3 linked regions of the Caenorhabditis elegans genome follow. The protein of the gene in region 1 interacts with the protein of each later gene in a biochemical or structural test. Each region holds a gene or a part of one and is shown on either strand. Other genes may lie near its edges.

What was found. Proteins that work in one complex are often made in the same cells at the same time.
Region 2: of the proteins of prmt-1 (region 1) and nhr-12, one has a biochemical effect on the other in vitro, tested with the Caenorhabditis elegans proteins (one study listed by BioGRID).
Region 3: of the proteins of prmt-1 (region 1) and crt-1, one has a biochemical effect on the other in vitro, tested with the Caenorhabditis elegans proteins (one study listed by BioGRID).

The regions. Positions count from the first base shown.
Region 1 is NC_003283.11:20,266,877-20,274,305, reverse strand, and holds prmt-1 (Protein arginine N-methyltransferase 1), read left to right. Parts: upstream 1-4,594; 5' UTR 4,595-4,601; coding exon 4,602-4,871; intron 4,872-4,925; coding exon 4,926-5,546; intron 5,547-6,549; coding exon 6,550-6,705; 3' UTR 6,706-6,929; downstream 6,930-7,429. Other genes in the region: cdkr-3 (CDK5RAP3 protein homolog), read right to left, coding at 1,417-2,452, 3,961-4,092, 4,144-4,189; mdt-17 (Mediator of RNA polymerase II transcription subunit 17), read left to right, coding at 7,077-7,355. UniProt on the Caenorhabditis elegans protein: Arginine methyltransferase that methylates (mono and asymmetric dimethylation) the guanidino nitrogens of arginyl residues present in target proteins.
Region 2 is NC_003283.11:10,080,164-10,085,700, forward strand, and holds nhr-12 (Nuclear receptor), read right to left. Parts: upstream 3,887-5,537; 5' UTR 3,860-3,886; coding exon 3,666-3,859; intron 3,481-3,665; coding exon 3,395-3,480; intron 3,349-3,394; coding exon 2,758-3,348; intron 2,697-2,757; coding exon 2,582-2,696; intron 2,532-2,581; coding exon 2,252-2,531; intron 2,187-2,251; coding exon 2,082-2,186; 3' UTR 1,970-2,081; downstream 1-1,969. Other genes in the region: nhr-205 (Nuclear Hormone Receptor family), read right to left, coding at 1-67, 118-385, 433-541, 613-1,086, 1,137-1,222, 1,400-1,521; R04B5.6 (Sorbitol dehydrogenase), read left to right, coding at 5,118-5,303, 5,492-5,537. UniProt on the Caenorhabditis elegans protein: Orphan nuclear receptor.
Region 3 is NC_003283.11:6,097,023-6,102,384, forward strand, and holds crt-1 (Calreticulin), read right to left. Parts: upstream 3,521-5,362; 5' UTR 3,488-3,520; coding exon 3,167-3,487; intron 3,072-3,166; coding exon 2,448-3,071; intron 2,393-2,447; coding exon 2,150-2,392; 3' UTR 1,970-2,149; downstream 1-1,969. Other genes in the region: smut-1 (Synthetic MUTator), read left to right, coding at 83-215, 263-790, 838-1,343, 1,392-1,559, 1,642-1,869; Y38A10A.11 (DNA-directed DNA polymerase), read right to left, coding at 4,882-4,941, 4,985-5,090. UniProt on the Caenorhabditis elegans protein: Molecular calcium-binding chaperone promoting folding, oligomeric assembly and quality control in the endoplasmic reticulum (ER) via the calreticulin/calnexin cycle.

The DNA.
Region 1 (7,429 bases):
TAGTTTAGCAGCGCCCAAATCTTGTAGTTTGTAGCTTAGCAGCGCCCAAATCTTGTAGTTTGTAGTTTAGCAGCGCCCAAATCTTGTAGTTTGTAGTTTAGCAGCGCCCAAAATCGAATTAGCAGCGCCCAAAATCGAATTAGCAGCGCCCAAATCTTGTAGTTTGTAGTTTAGCAGCGCCCAAAATCGAATTAGCAGCGCCCAAATCTAGTAGTTTGTAGTTTAGCAGCGCCCAAAATTGTATTAGCAGCGCCCAAATCTTGTAGTTTGTAGCTTAGCAGCGCCCAAATCTTGTAGTTTGTAGTTTAGCAGCGCCCAAATCTTGTAGTTTGTAGTTTAGCAGCGCCCAAAATCGAATTAGCAGCGCCCAAAATCGAATTAGCAGCGCCCAAATCTTGTAGTTTGTAGTTTAGCAGCGCCCAAAATCGAATTAGCAGCGCCCAAATCTAGTAGTTTGTAGTTTAGCAGCGCCCAAAATTGTATTAGCAGCGCCCAAATCTTGTAGTTTGTAGTTTAGCAGAGCCCAAAATCGAATTAGCAGCGCCCAAATCTAGTAGTTTGTAGTTTAGCAGCGCCCAAATCTAGTAGTTTGTAGTTTAGCAGCGCCCAAAATTGTATTAGCAGCGCCCAAATCTTGTAGTTTGTAGTTTAGCAGCGCCCAAATCTTGTAGTTTGTAGTTTAGCAGCGCCCAAATCTAGTAGTTTGTAGTTTAGCAGCGCCCAAAATTGTATTAGCAGCGCCCAAATCTTGTAGTTTGTAGTTTAGCAGCGCCCAAAATCGAATTAGCAGCGCCCAAATCTAGTAGTTTGTAGTTTAGCAGCGCCCAAATCTTGTAGTTTGTAGTTTAGCAGCGCCCAAATCTAGTAGTTTGTAGTTTAGCAGCGCCCAAATCTTGTAGTTTGTAGCTTAGCAGCGCCCAAATCTTGTAGTTTGTAGTTTAGCAGCGCCCAAATCTTGTAGTTTGTAGTTTAGCAGCGCCCAAAATCGAATTAGCAGCGCCCAAATCTTGTAGTTTGTAGTTTAGCAGCGCCCAAAATCGAATTAGCAGCGCCCAAATCTTGTAGTTTGTAGTTTAGCAGCGCCCAAAATCGAATTAGCAGCGCCCAAAATCGAATAGCAGCGCCCAAATCTTGTAGTTTGTAGTTTAGCAGCGCCCGAAATTGTATTAGCAGCGCCCAATTCTTGTAGTTTGTAGTTTAGCAGCGCCCAAAATCGATTTAGCAGCGCCCAAATCTTGTAGTTTGTAGTTTAGCAGCGCCAAAACTTTTTCCGGCAGTTTTATCGAATTTTGGTCGAATTTAGTGATTTTTCGGAGTTTTTCTGCAGTGAAAAGGCGATTTTTAATCATAATCATAATAAAATGTCATATTTTCAGTTGGTTTTCCTCCCGAAACCACTTGAAATTGCAAACGCACTGCGGAGATCCACGAATCTTGAACAAGTGCACTTTCTGCGGATTCTCCAGCTCCTTCAAAATCCCCTCCACTTCCGTAATCCACGTCTTCAGGCGCTTCTCCGTAACGGCTGCCACGCCATCGGGACGTTTTTCGGCTCCACGGATCAGAACATCGGCCGTCGTTTCTCGAGTTTCATCGTCCAAACGCATCGAGAGAAAGGCTAAAAGCTCGATGAGCTCGTGCTTCACAGCTTTTTGAGCTTCCGAGTTCTCGAGAAGGTGAAGAGCATCCTGGCCTGAAGCTATTGCCTCGCCGACTGCTCCAGTGTCATCTGCTACTAGGTCGACTACTGCGGAAAAATCAATAACCGCATCGTCTTCTGCAGCAATTCCGAAGTCAATTTCATCGCCGCCGCCGAAATCGATCTCATCCGAGTCCTCAGCGGCGGTCAGGAGCATCTCGAAATTCGGTTTTTCCACTTTATCCGGCTTCTGGTTATACTTCCACTCATAAGTCGTCACGTCAAGCCCCCGCTCTCCAATTAACCCGATTATTGGAAGAATCGGAGCAGCATCCTTTGGAGCAGCTCCCAGGCTCATATAGTCCCGGAAGGCCTGAAAGTAGTCGCGGGCCGCGGAGATTTTCCGGATTTCCGCGGTGATTTTCTCGTAGAACGCGGGGAGATCTGCGGCGAGTTCGAGCAGTTCTTTTCGCAAATGAACACCTTTCAACTGCATTCTGGAGATTTCCTTCTCGAATTGTTTCCGGCCATCTTCGGCTTGTTTCCCGTATTCTGAGTGTTTCCTGATTGCATCTGTCACGGATTGATCCATCTTGGAGATTTGTTTCCGCAAGGCCGGAATCTCGTATTGGGCCAGTCGCTGGAGAATTTGGGCCGCTTCTGCCAGGTAGACATTGTCTTTTTTGTACATTCCCTCGATTTCCTGCCAGTCCTTCATACGCTGGGAGGAGTAGAAGCCCAGAAAGTTTTTCGTGTCTTTTTCCGTGTCGCGCAGGATTTCGATGATTTGGCAGCAGTGGAAATAGTTGATATCTGGAAAAAAAATCGAGTTTTTAGCTTAAAAACTGAATTTTTGGCAATTTTCAGGTCAAAAAAAAATAAATTGAATAAAAATCGATTTTTTGAAGATTTTTACGGCAAAAATAGCATTGTAATGCATTTTTCTAACTAAATTTGGCGAAAAATAATTTTAAAAAATGTTATTTTATCAGGTTTTTGCAGAAAAAAAGTTTGGCGCTGCTAATTCAATTTGGGGCGCTGCTAACACTACAAACTACAAGTTTTGGGCGCTGCTAATTCAATTTTGGGCGCTGCTAACACTACAAACTACAAGTTTTGGGCGCTGCTAATCCGGATTTCGAGCTGTTAATGGGAATTTTATCGAAATTTCTGCATTTTTTTCGTAAATTTCGGCACGAAAACTAAATTATAGTCGGTTTTCGCCGCAAAAATCACAATTTTATATGTTTTTCTGACTGTTTTTGGTGCAAAACTGAATTTTTGGCAATTTTTAAATTAAAAATTGAATAAAAATCGATTTTTTGAAGATTTTTACGGCAAAAATAGCATTGTAATGCATTTTCCTAACTAAATTTGGCGAAAAATAATTCAAAAAAATGTTATTTTATCAGGTTTTTGCAGAAAAAAAGTTTGGCGCTGCTAATTCAATTTTGGGCGCTGCTAACACTATAAACTACAAGTTTTGGGCGCTGCTAATCCAGATTTCGAGCTGTTAATGGGAATTTTATCGAAATTTCTGCATTTTTTTCGTAAATTTCGGCACGAAAACTAAATTATAGTCGGTTTTCACCGCAAAAATCACAATTTTATATGTTTTTCTGACTTTTTTGGGTGAAAAACTGAATTTTTGGCAATTTTTAGATTAAAAATTGAATAATTACGGCTTTTTTGACAGAAAAATTTATTATTTTTTCTATTTTAATGATTTTTCTCGCTAAATTTGGCGAAAAACGACTAAAAACTGTAATTTAATTGGATTTTTCTCAAAAAAATGGTTTGGCGCTGCTAACATTACAAACTACAAGTTTTGGGCGCTGCTAATTCAATTTTGGGCGCTGCTAAAACTACAAACTACAAGATTTGGGCGCTGCTAATTCAATTTTGGGCGCTGCTAAGACTACAAACTACAAGTTTTGGGCGCTGCTAATTCAATTTTGGGCGCTGCTAAAACTACAAACTACAAGATTTGGGCGCTGCTAATTCAATTTTGGGCGCTGCTAAAACTACAAACTACAAGATTTGGGCGCTGCTAATCCGGATTTCGAGCTGTTAATGGGACTGTTATTGAATTTTTTGCATTTTTCCGTAAATTTAAAAAGTAAAGGTAAAGGTTGTCCGTTTGGTTCAAGGGTGAGCCTAAGCCTCCTGCGGACAAGAGAGATTTTATTCGTTTTTCTGACTGTTTTTGGTGAAAAACTATTTTTTTTAATCAGATTTTTTGCAAAAAAAACTTGGTAGTCGAGCCTTTTTGTAGTTTTTTAACAATTTTTTGGTCTTTTTTGGGCAAAAAACCAACTAACACGCTCCTTGCAGCAGCTCCACGATTTTCGGCGACTCCGGCATGTCCAAAATGGCATGTTTGATCTTTTCTCGAATCGCCACCACGCTTTTTTGCCAATCTTTGTTGCAATGACGACGGGAAACCAGCCAATCTAAAGTTTTTGCGGTGTTTTTTGGGTTAAAATTAATGGATAACGAGTTACCAAGCAATTTACTGCTGTGAATATCGATTGGCAAGTCGTCTGACATGATTTTTTATCTGAAAAATTAAAATTTTAACTTAAAATTCAATTTTAAATTCAGAAATCTCCCAAAAAAAGAAGAAAATTTCGATGGAAAAATACACGTCAGCCACTGCGTAAATCGACACAAATTTAAAGGCGCATGCGGTTTCGTGTGTGTTGGGTCTCGCAACGCCCGCATTTTTAGGTGTTGATTTGAAATGAGTTTTCCTTTTTTTTTCGTCTTTTTCACTCGAATTTCATGATTTTCAGTTGATTTTCAATTGATTTTTTGGTTTTTTTTGCTGAAAATTAATTATTTTTTGATTAAAAAGCTTTTCGAACAAGAAAATACATGAATTTTGGCCCTAAAAGTGGATTTCAGAGCATGTGGATCTCACATTAATTAATTTAATAATTAACCTTTTTCCAGCGGGACAATGAGTACCGAAAACGGGAAGTCCGCAGATGCGCCGGTGGCGGCACCGGCTGCAAAAGAGTTGACCAGCAAGGACTACTACTTCGACTCGTACGCTCACTTCGGTATCCACGAGGAGATGCTCAAGGACGAGGTGCGAACCACCACCTACCGGAACTCGATCTATCATAACTCGCACTTGTTCAAAGACAAAGTTGTGATGGATGTTGGCTCGGGAACTGGAATTCTTTCCATGTTCGCCGCCAAGGCTGGAGCGAAGAAGGTTTTCGCGGTGAGTTTTTTTTGGATTTTTTGAACGGTTTTTAAAAATTTCCTTTTCCTTCAGATGGAATTCTCCAACATGGCGCTCACCTCCCGCAAAATAATCGCCGACAACAACCTGGACCACATCGTCGAGGTGATTCAGGCGAAGGTAGAGGACGTTCACGAGTTGCCAGGAGGCATTGAGAAGGTCGATATCATCATTTCCGAGTGGATGGGATACTGCTTGTTCTACGAGTCGATGCTCAACACTGTGCTCGTCGCCCGCGATAGATGGTTGGCTCCGAATGGAATGTTGTTCCCGGACAAGGCTCGTCTCTACGTCTGTGCTATCGAGGATCGTCAGTACAAGGAGGACAAGATCCACTGGTGGGATTCAGTCTACGGATTCAACATGTCCGCTATCAAGAACGTCGCGATCAAGGAGCCACTCGTCGATATCGTCGACAACGCTCAGGTCAACACCAACAATTGTCTGCTGAAGGACGTTGATTTGTACACCGTTAAAATCGAGGATCTCACGTTCAAATCGGACTTTAAGCTGAGATGCACTCGCAGCGACTATATTCAAGCTTTCGTCACCTTCTTCACCGTCGAGTTCTCCAAGTGCCACAAGAAAACCGGATTCTCGACTGGGCCAGATGTACAGTACACTCATTGGAAGCAGACCGTCTTTTATCTTAAAGTATGCGCTTAAAAATAACTTTTTTTCGGGTTAAATACCATTTTTCAACAGTTTTTCACCAAATTTAGTCAGTAAATGGTAAAAACTTCGATTTTTGGGCTGAAAATCGACCTTTTCACAGTTTTTGAAACAAAATTCGCCAAAAAATTAAGAAAACATGAATTAGCAGCCCCCAAAACTCGTAGTTTGTAGCTTAGCGGCGCCCAAAACTCGTAGTTTGTAGTTTAGCAGCGCCCAAATCTTGTAGTTTGTAGCTTAGCAGCGCCCAAAACTCGTAGTTTGTAGTCTAGCAGCGCCCACAATCGTAGTTTGTAGCTTAGCAGCGCCCAAATCTTGTAGTTTGTAGCTTAGCAGCGCCCAAAGCTCGTAGTTTGTAGCTTAGCAGCGCGCAAAACTCGTAGTTTGTAGTTTAGCAGCGCCCAAATCTTGTAGTTTGTAGCTTAGAAGCGCCCAAAACTCGTAGTTTGTAGTCTAGCAGCGCCCACAATCGTAGTTTGTAGCTTAGCAGCGCCCAAAATTAAATTAGCAGCGCCCAAATCTTGTAGTTTGTAGTCTAGCAGCGCCCAAAATCGTAGTTTGTAGCTTAGCAGCGCCCAAAACTAGTAGTTTGTAGTTTAGCAGCTCCCAAAAGCGAATTAGCAGCGCCCAAAAGCTTGTAGTTTGTAGTTTAGCAGCGCCCAAATCTTGTAATTTTGTAGTTTAGCAGCGCCCAAAACTAGTAGTTTGTAGTAGTCTTAAGTATTAAATTTGTGTTTTTTTAAAGATTTTTGCACGAATTTTGCACTTTTCTATCGATTTTTCGAGTAAAAACCGGATTTTCTGACTGAAACCGGGGTTTTTAGGCAAAAAGTTGTATTTTTCACTAATTTTCGTTAGCTAGAAAAACCCAGTTTTGTTTTAATAAAAAAGAAAAAAAATTGCAATTTTCACATCATCTTTGACTTCAAATTCGACACTTTCGATTCAAATTTTATTTTTTTTTTCAATTTTTCGATTTTTTCAGGACGCGCTCACAGTAAAGAAAGGCGAGGAAATAACCGGATCATTCGAGATGGCACCAAACAAGAACAACGAACGTGACTTGGATATCAACATTTCGTTCGATTTCAAGGGAGAAGTGTGTGATCTCAACGAGCAGAACACCTACACCATGCACTAATTTTTGCTGTTTTTTTTTTCGTCTTTTTTCTCACACTTTTTTGCCCCCAATTTTTACACTTTGTTGATCCCCCGTTGTTCCCCCCGAAACCTCCCGATTTCCGCAGATACTCGATTGTATATACCTCGATGCGGGTTGTTGTCGCGCACCTCCTCTATCCGCGCGCACGCTCACTCTGCTCGGTACTCCATTTGTTGACCTTTTTCCATAAAAAAAAATCTGCCAAAATTCAAGTTTTTTGCAATTTTTAAGCGATTTTATAATTTATAGGTTACGCAGCCTTTAGATATATTTTTAATATTCAATCAATAGTGAGCAGCGCCAAAAGAAAAACCGAAAAATTATTTTTAAAAAAGTTTAGCACAAAAAAAATGGAAGACGGCGATGAAGTGGTGGAGCCTATCGAGCCGGAATCCGAAGACATTGTGAATCTCACAAAACGACTAGGAGTGGATCTCGTGCTGGAATCCAATGATGACTGGAAAATCCAGGAAATCGGATTTGACGGTGTGGAGAGGTACCTGCAGCCCGAGACGTTCACTGATCATGTTGGAAAATTGGCTCGGAAGGTGGAATGGACGAAGCTAGTGGGCACAAAATCGCCTTATGAAAATTCGAAGGTTGATCCCGAAGATGAACTCGATGATGAGGTAGAAGCCGGCGAAAATCAAGAAAAATCGAATAATTTTCGGGAAAAAGTCAGAAAATCATCGATTTTCAGGCT
Region 2 (5,537 bases), about 10 Mb from region 1:
GTGGAAGCGTATAACCATCAAAAACATGAGCGAGTGACATATCTTCTCGTAATCGACAGACGATTCTCTGGAAATGTTATTTTAATTATTAAATTAATGAAATAATATCAACTGTACCTGCAAGCATGTTAATATCGACACAAGCATTGTCAACTGACATACTGGGTTCTCATTTTTTTGAATATACTTCAAATAATAAATGTATTCATTTGTAACATTTGATTTCATCTTTTTGGATATTTCTCGGCACTCTTCTGTTTGTCCAACAATTCCATGATCCCAGAATAATAAAACAACAAAAACCAGAAAATCGTACATTTCAATTTTTTCTGACTTCAAAAGTTTATGAAAGTTATCATTTTGCTCTAGTGATGGCTTGAAAAGTCTGAAAATGTAAATATTTAATAATTATTCAATTGGACTTTAACGTACTTGGCAAGTTTTGTACCATCAATTTTTAGTTGTTCATCTGTGAAAAATTCTTCAAGGTTGTCAATTTGTATATAATCACCCGATTGCAAAACCCATTGGTTTAGGTTATCTGAAAAAATTATTTTTAAAATACATGTGTTCAAACAATAAATATATTCAAACAATAAATTATTAGCTTACTGTGTTTACTTGTCAAAAATGCTCTTTCCAAAACAATAAAATTGACAGAAAAGTTTGAGAAAAGAATTGATTTCTGATCAGTTGGAAGAAATTCAAATTCATTGAAGCACCATCCAATCCAATCAGCAACCAGTGACATTTCATTTGATAATATTTCCAATGTTTCTCGAAATTTCAAAGATCTCGGAGTTCGTTTCTCAAATATATTATCACCTTCTCTTCTATGGATGATATTTCTCGAATTTTTCAATTTTTCGTAATTCGCCAGCATTTTCTGAAGAATGGGCATAGCTTCAACAGCTATCGGAACTTCAATGCATGAGACTTCAATATCAGCTGGACTAACATTCATGGACGGTAAAATTAGTTTTTCTTCTTTTTGAGGTTTATCTCTTCTTGGTTGAACACAACTTCTTTTCATTCCCAAGTTTAGGCATTTGTTCAAACGGCAACTTTTACATATTGAACGAATGACTGAAACAAATTAAAATTAATGGAGAATAAGAAGTAATGAAAAAACTCACTTGTATTAATTTTACAAGCTCCTTGCTGTCGACATTCGAATTTTTTTCCCAGAGCCACAGTTCTTCGGAAAAATGCGGCACAAGCTCTTAAATTAAAATTGTTATTGTAACTTAAACAATAATATTCTTATGAGGTTATTTAAGCAATGTAGCAAAATGTATTTAAATACATGTTTTTATATACTTGAATACAGTTGCGTCGTAATTTTTCTACACTTTAATTTTCCGATATTACTTGAATAACCCCATTATTTGAAACCAACCTGCACGCATCGAGACCAAAGTGATGACCATCCCCAACATCGCCACAAATTGCACAGTTCGGTTTTTTTGTTTCCTTTTGTGATAATCCTTGTTCAAAAAATTGGAAATTCAATGAATCCATAACTTCATAATATTATAAGTGAGTGCAATAGAAATAGAAACACAGACAAAAAGTAGAAAGATACGAACAAGAGAATACGTTGCCTGGTCCAAGTGAGAGAATTGAGATACTGCCTACGTTTGTAGCCTTTGTGACCTGTTGAGACTTGTTTTTTCTTATCGGGTACAACCAAAACTCTCTTACAAAATCGTGCTATTTTCAAGTATGAAGCCAAACTACAATAACTACATTTTTATGTTCAAAGGGTCAGAAGATTGGAAACTGTTTTCTACTTAAACTTATTTTAAGAGTAACAACTAACGGATAGAGCATATTTTCATATTTTCTAGGGAATTACCATTTTCATTTTGTTTAAATTTGCTAGTTCATGTACACAGTTAAAATTTGAAATTGAAAAGCGGAGTTTTCAACAAAACAATCATAAGTGATATTCCAAAATTTTGACCGAGAAAGTTTAATTAATACTTATTTATTTAATTTTTCGAAAAAGATCACAGCTATTAGTTACAAGGTTTCAATGAAAGATGGACAAAAGTATATCACAGATAGAAAAACCACAATCAATTAAATTTTCCATTTATAATATTGACGAAATTCTCAGGTAGAGCATAAATATTGAAGATATTAGCCATTTCGATGTCCTCTTGGAAACGGCGAACTGCTCTCTGGAATAAAAATAGTTAAACACCGTACTTTCGATTTTTCAATGAATAATTTATCAAAAAATTACCTGTAAGCTTGGCAGAATAGACACGACACTTGCCATCCTATAAAGTGGTTCTTCGTGTTTCTTAACATTTCTCAAATAAAAAGTCATTTCTCTTGTAACTCGATGTTTGACTCGTCGTCCAACTTCATTACACTCATCAGACTGTCCTTCCAATCCAAAATCCCAGAACAACATAACGCATAATGCAAAAAACTCGTAAGAATCTACATTTTCCAATCGCATCAAGTTGATAAGACTCCTCTTTTGTAATTCGAATGACGGCCTAATCAGTCTGCAAAGTCTGAAGTACCACTGTCAGGACAACGTTTCATGAACGGAACATTTACTTACTTTGCAATTTCTGCAGGAGTACCACCTGTTCCACTATTGCATTCTTTGAAAAATCCTTCAAGATTATCGTAGTCAATATAGTCTTTTGAAGCCATTACAACAATTCCATCACGTCCTGAAATCATTCATGTTTTAAAGTTTTGATTTCTCGTATTAGTTTTCAAAAAAAAACTCACCACTTTTGACAGTCATGAATGCTCTTTCAAGCATACAGAAAAACACAAAAAAGTTTTGAAACAAAATCGTTTTCTGATCAACAGGTAATAATCCAAAATCGTCAAAACACCATTCGATCCAATCAGCAACTAATGAAACTTCCTTTGTTGTTACTTCAGTTGCCTCTCGAAATGTGATTGCTCTTGGAACTTTTTGTTGAAATATATTTTCTCCTTCTCTTCGATGAATCACATTCCTTGCATTTTCCATTTTATCATAATTAATTCTCATTCTTTCGAGAAGAGGCATCGTTTCAAGAGATGGTGAAGAACTGAGTCCAGGAAGCGATGCAGGGGAGAATGCCGAAAAATTACTGATTGGTGTATCTTTGAATATTGAAAAATCCATAAAGTTGGATGTTGATGGAACAGCTGAAGCCTGTGGAACAATATTAAAATTTGGAATTGGTCGTCTGATTTCAGTTTTTGAAGTATCAAATTGAAGATCAGCTTTGGGAGTATCGTTTTCTCGACGATTCTGAACACATTCTGGATTCATTCCAACTTCTATACATTTGTCATATCGACACGAGCGGCACATGCATCGAATATCTGAAAGAAGAAAACAAATAATTTGAAAAATGATCGCTATACTTACTCGAAGAAACTTCACAGTTTCTGCCTGCTCTGCATTCATATTTCTTTGAAAGTGCCACGCTCCGTCGGAAAAATGCAGTACATGCTCTTAAAGTTTTTTGGAAATTATAAGTGTTAAGCTATTAGAACTTTCAATTGAGATCTTGTTAAAAAATAATTGGAAAAAGTTAATCAAATATATAAATGAATTTTAAAAATTCTTGAAGTCGATTGCCCGATAAACTTTTCAATTACTAAAACAACCGGTGATCAATAAAAAATCAAAAAGGTACCTGCAAGCTTCTGCTCCAAAATGTAATCCATCTCCAACTTCATTGCAAACCGCACAATTTGGTTTTTCATACCTTCCACGAAATTGAGTATTAGGAGTAATTGACGTAGTCGGTGTTTCCGTTCCAAGTTTTTCTGTAGTCGTGAATGAAGCAAGAAAAGGTTCTGTTTTTTGTTCCTGAGGTATCTGCTCCATTTTGTGAAAATTTTTATTTTCCTGAAAATATTAAGATTTTGTAACGAAAAATTATTATATCAAAAATTGAAAAATGTAGAAAATAAAAAGGTGAGAAATAAGAGAAAATAGAGGCGAGACACGTTTGTGTGGCCAAATGTATTGGAGTGTATTGACAGAGAAGACTACAAAGAAGAGAAATAGTGTGCGTGAGACGGCTAGGTTGTAGTTTGTAGCCTGGTTCGTAGCGAGATCACAGAACAGAGAATAGCGTATTTGTAGTGTCTGCGTCTCATGTATTATTGATTGAGTTTCTAGAAAGATAACGGTGATGATGACATTTCAACTACCTGACTACAAAATATATCTTACGACAAAAGTGACTTTATGTTTGTTACTAAATAACAAGAAACAACACAACTCATATTTCAATTTTTAATTTAGGCAAAAAATGGCATAAAAAACAGACTATAAAACAAACAAATAATTTTCTCTAATTCTATGATTCCGAAACTTTTGATATTCAATCTAGAATGCTCGTTTAACTTTCTGATCGAATAATATGCACATGAAAATTCACGAATTAATACTATTTTTTCGGCACTCCTCCACAGCAGCGCAAACCAATTTTTGATATCCCCAATAAAAGCGGTACCGAAATTCGAATTTTAATCTTGATCCGCAAACCTAATGGTTTAAAAGCTAGACCATGTCTATGATTTCTAATGGGACTTTTTTTTGTTTCATACTCATTTATGCACAGGATAACATACATTCTTGTTTCAATAGAAAAAAATCCTCAACTTTCGGGCAAAATAATTTTGAATTTAAAGTTCTTCAACAAAATCAAATTTTGAAATTTTTAGCTAATTACTGTGCAAACATTAAACATTCCTTCAATGTTTCATCTGACTTACAAAATTGTCATTTAACTAGTATGATGTTTCGTATTAATTCCGAGATTTATGGTAACCTGATATTTGGAATTTCTGAAAATTGTCTTATACGTCTTGTATTATATATTTACTAATGAACACCAGTAGGATGTAGTATGAATTTTCTGTTTGAATTCCTGTGATAAAGTTGTTTTAGTTTTTGACCAGCTTGGCTTGATGCGATAATATCAAAATAAATGGGTGTAACATTTTGTACTGGGCACTGACATGTGTCCATTCTGCCAGACTCTCAACAACAACGTAGTTGAGCTCAGCATCCGCTTATTCGTGAAAGCATCCTTTTATTCAATTTTTAACCTGATATTAAATCCTTCTAATTTGAAATGTCTCAAGATAATTTGTCTGCTGTCCTCTACGGAATAAACGATTTACGTCTTGAACAAGCTCCAATTTCCAAACCGGGACCAAGACAAGTTCTTGTTAAAATTAATACTGTTGGTATTTGTGGAAGTGATGTACACTTTTTGACACACGGAGCAATTGGATCATTTGTTGTTAAAGAACCGATGGTGAGAAATATAAAAGTAATTTTATAGTGTTACCGTGAGTAATTCAACCCTTTTATTTTGACAGAACACATGTATAGTACAACCTCCTTTTTTTAATCAAAATAATCAATTTTAAAATAAAATATTTCTGTTAAAAAACTCCAGTGAACAAAAAAGTGTATTTAAAAATTAAAAAAAAAAGTTTTCAGGTTTTAGGCCATGAGAGTTCTGGAGTTGTTTCTGAAATTGGAAGTG
Region 3 (5,362 bases), about 14 Mb from region 1:
TTGTGTCGTAAAAACCGTTACTTTTCGTTCAAATATTTATTTTCAAACCAAAATATAAACATTTTTGTAATAATCTTTGTAGATGCCTCATCCTTGGAACACTGCCGATGCATTAGACGATAGTCGGGTACAAGTTGAGCACATTGATTTAGTTCCTCCAAAGTATGCAAATGTACTCAACTTCAGATCTATTAAAACTAGAGATTATTATTTTGGTAAACCATGTTCTGGGCAATTAAATATTTCAATAACTTTTCTTCAGCAATGAGAGATCGTCATCAGCAGTTGGGCGCAGTCACATCTTCAAAAGCTGAAACTGACAAATTGAATAAACACTGTGAGGAGAACACGATAATGGTGGATCAAGACGGAGTAGAAACTCCAGCTGATTATGGAACAGAGAGGATGGTTGCACATGCAATAGAAGATCACCGACTTGCCGCCAATTTGCAACGAATAAAAGTTCATATTCTGAATGCAGTTCAACAAAAATCAATTCAAGCTATTCGTGACCGCCGAGGACTTCTAGTGGATGCTCCAACTGGAATCGGGAAGACTTATGCGTTTCTTATTCCGGCGATTGAAATTGCATTGAGGGAGCGACCATTGCTTACCAATATTTCAACCACGCCATCACCAACTATTCTTATTCTTGCAAATACCAACTCACTCGTTGAACAACTTTTTAATCGTTGTGAAGTTCTTCTTGGTTTGATAGATATGGAAGATATTATACCTATTCGAGATATTAAAATTGAAAAACTAGTTGCTAGCTATCAGTTCACAAAAGGTTCGTTACAGCATTCGTCTAACCAAAAAAAAACGAATTCTTTATAGATCAATGCGATATTGCGTTCTGTACGATGGGAAAGCTGAAAGCATCGATCGAGGATAAAACAATTCTTCTTGACAATTTGAAAATGATGATTTTGGATGAATCTGATAAAATGATTGACATTGCATGCTTCGGAAATGACATTGATTGGGTTTTAGACCAACTACAAGAGGATGTGCTCAGAAATCTTCAATCTTGTTTCTTTTCTGCGTCTCACAACAGAAACGAAGATGGTTCAATTGCATTAACTTCACGTCAATCAAGAATGTTAGGTGAAAATCCATGGTCACTGATCCATTGTCCGAGATTGCCTGGATATATCACTCAACGAGTTATTCGAATTGGTGGACAGCGAGTAAATGATATCCATTCGAATCCTTGGATCGTTAAGATGAATATTATTTGTAAATTGTTAGATGATGATCTCAAGGAAATGGGAAGCACAAAAGAAGGCCCATGGAAGCATACTATTGCAATTTTCTGTGAAACTGTCTCAAGAGTTATTCAGGTTTTACCCCTATTCTTTCGATTTTAAAAATATTGAGAACATTTTCAGGTAACTATGGCACTTCGTCAGATGGGATATAATTTCAAACCTGTATGCAGTAGTGTGTTGAAACAACAACAAGCAATCACTTTGAATGATTTGGAGTTTTGCAACATTCATGGAGTTGTATGTACCAATATTATGTCGAGAGGAATCGATGTGTCTTCTGTGAAACAGGTAAGTTTACATATATATTAAATTGATAAAAACATGGCTACTATTGACCCAAATATTTTTTATCTTAAGTCACATATTTCAGACAATAATCATGGAAATGTCCACCGATTTTCCGAGCTACATGCATAGAATCGGACGAGTTGGTCGCGATGGATGTGGTGGAAGAGCTACTGTCCTCATCGATGAGCATCATTTATTTGGCGGACCAATGTCGAATATTATCGAGCAGCTGTGTTCTTTTATGCTCGAATGCGAGGAAACGCTTCCCAATTGGCTTGTAGAATGGCTGAAGTTGCGTCAATCACTTTAATTGAATCACATATCAATTTCCTATTTTGTGCCGGTTTTTATCGCTTTTCTATGTATCTGATCCTGTATTTTATATTCATTGAACTAATCGAACTCGTAAATAGGTTTTAAAATTTTTTTATTATAAAACAAGAAAGGCTATCCAGCATCAAAATGGATGCTCAATAAATTAATAAAACAATCAATTAACCCGAGAGAATAGGAGAGACTTGAATGCGGGGGAATTGTGATGGAGTGGGGGCGATTGTATGAAGCGAGTTGAAAAGCTGTGCACGATTTGCTTAGAGCTCATCGTGTCCTTCCTCCTCTTCCTTCTCCTCCTCATCATCATCCTTCTTGGCCTCCTTCTCCTCCTCGGCCTTCTTGCGAGCCTCCTCCTCAGCCTTGCGGGTTTCTTCGTCGGCCTTCTCCTTCTTTTCCTTCTCAACAGTCTTCAATTTGTCAAAAGTCTCGGCAGCATGGGCCTCGGCCTCCTCAACAGAGTCGGTGATGATAATGTTGTCAAAGATCGTTCCTGACTTGACCTGAAAAAATAAAGTTTGAGTTTCATTTTTGAAAAATAGAATAAAAGTTTCTTACCTGCCACAAATCGAATCCGATGGCTCCCCAGCTTTCATAAGAGTAGAGTTCATCATCAGGAGTGTACTCTGGGTTCTCAATCTCTGGATGGATCCACTTGCCCTTGTAGGCTGGGTTCTTGATCTGCTTTGGCTTCCACTCACCCTTGTATTCTGGGTTGTCGATCATTGGTGGCTCCCATTCTCCGTCCATCTCGTCATCCCAGTCTTCTGGCTTCTTGGCATCTGGATCTGGGATGTGCTCTGGCTTCTCCCAATCTTCTGGCTTGGCATCCTCGGCATCATCGATGTACTCACGCTCATCCCAGTCCTCTGGCTTCTTTGCATCTGGATCCTTGATCTTCTTGGCTGGAAGAAGATCCCAGTCCTCCTCGAGGCTTCCAGTTTGGGCGCTTTCTCCGTCGATCTTGACTTCGTAGGTATTGTCGGAGTTGAGGATGAGAGTGTAGAGATGAGTGAGTTCGTCGCTCTTGCAGGTGATTTCCTTCTTGATGAGCTTGTTCTCTCCCTTGTAGTTAAGGATAACGTGGACACGGCGAGTTGGTCCGCAGATGTCTGGGCCGAACATGACGTTGTATGGGGTCTCTCCGTGGAAATCTCCCAAGTCAGCATCAGCTCTCATGACCTGGAAAATAAATATTGTTTTAATTGAGAAACATGTTTTGATACTAACAAACTAATGCGAAAAAATTATCACATCAAGAAATTTAAAATACTAACCTTAACGTATCCACCTCCACAGTCGATTCCTTGCTCGTGCTTGACGGTGTATTGGATCACAAGAGTCTTTCCTTTGTTGGAGAAGTCCTTGTCGAACTTGGCGGCACGGGAGTAGAACTTGGCATCTTGGCTGGTCTGGATTCCTTGGTCGCGGGACTCAACATCGAAGAACTTTCCAGCTGAGAGCTTGAAGGCTCCAAAGTCATCCTTGTGCTTGGATTGAACCCATCGCTTCTCCCATGAGGCGTCGTTGAACTCCTCTTTGAAGTAGACTTCAGCCGAAACGACGGCAACGATTGCTAACAGGCAGAGTGATTTCATTTCGTTTTTCGATAAAACGACACCAAGTTGAATCTGAAATTAAAAAGTAAATATAACAATTAAACATATGAATCGGAAAAAGAAGAGATAAATTGAATGAGAATATACCAAAGAATAAAATTCGAGAATTTCAGAGAAGAAAGACTAGAAATGAAACCGAACAAGAGCAAAACTGAAACTGATGATGTTGAACTGAGCTCGTCTGCTACGACAATGGAGTAAGTCGACGTGTGTCTTGCGTGGCTGACACGGCTCGAGGTGCCGCGTATCTATTGGTCCACGTCAGCGACTGGCCAATCGGCGGTCGCCACACATTGAGAATAGGCGGAGCGTGTCTGATGAGAGGCCACGTTGCGTGTCGGCCTCGCACTGCGAAGAGAGCGAGAGAGTGAGTGAGTTGAAGAGATGCAGACGGAGAGCATTTTGGGATAAGGAAATAATGCCCTTGCGGGTGGACAGCAGTCCAGCAGAGGGCTTTTTGATATTATCGCAATTGGGAATCTGATTGAAAAGAACAGAAACAGCTGAGATCAGTATTCTTTAAGGGGTTTAGAACTTTCCATGCTTATTTTGCACTAAATTTCTAGACTTTCGGATTTAAAAATTGGATCACACAGCCAGAATGTAGTAGAATGTATTTATCAACCAATTTCTGAATGAAACCAACGATAAAAACACATTATCGCGTTTATGTGGACATGACGAATCGAAAAATCGCCCTTGACACAGTTATCCATTTTTTGCTTCGTTTTGCAAAACCAGTTTCACAAAAGACGCATGACAAAAATGATGAACCATCGGAAAAAGATGGAAACTACATTTTAAACGACCGTTTGTGTAAATAAAACAATGAAAATGGCGAAAATGAGAGACAAGAAGACTGAAAAAGGCTGAAACGGATGAATAAAATTTGAATGGCGCTTTGGCGCCATCGTTTGGTGTTTGCGTAAATTGCGTACTCTGGAGAAAATTGTGGTTGACCGTATCACTCGTGAGCCAAAGCTGAAATTTGAGCATAATTGAATAAATGCACATATTTTTCAAAGTGGTGATATTTTTCTGGTGTTTCCTGGATTGTTTCTGAAATATCATTTCCAGATTCGAAATTAGTACTGCTCATTATAAAAGTGGTGCTTCAATTCTCTTATCAAGTCCTGGTGGACTCCAGGAGTACAGCACTCGTTATCATCTAAATTATAAAATTGATAAATTCTATATGAAAACATAGTATGAAGAATAATGTGAATATTTTATTAGCTGGCCAGTACAAACGAGTTCCTCTTTACCAAAAGGTACATTGTAAACAATTCGGCATTGAGAACAAACAATAAGTGCATTTTCAAATATTTATTCGGTCCTGGTCAAGAGAAAGATCGGCGACGAGAAGTACCTCGTTAGCCACGCGTCATTTCCACAATTTTTTCACATTCGCATGCTACTCGGGCTCGGTTCACCTGAACATCTAGAATTATAATTTTTTCAGGAATATTTTTAGACCTCTGAACTCCAGGAAACTGCATTTCGAACAAAAAGTCTGACACGATCACAAGTTGACGTAATATAAGGAAAGGTGTAGAGCATTGCAAAATGATTTCGATCTTGCCTGAAATTTATCACGAAATGATATTGTAATTTACCGTACTCCTTACTATAGCTTTAAATTATTCAAATGCCTACCTGCCTGCCTGGAAGCAAAACTTCAAGAGACCTACGTCTACTGTTAAGTTCAATGCAAGCCACACCTGCCTTCTAGGCACATAGGTAGGCACTTATCAATATTGAGGTAGTCCTACTTCTCACAGTGTCTACAGTATGACATCGGCAAGAAATCGGTTTTTGATTATTTAAAAAATCTAACTAAATCCAAAAAATAAA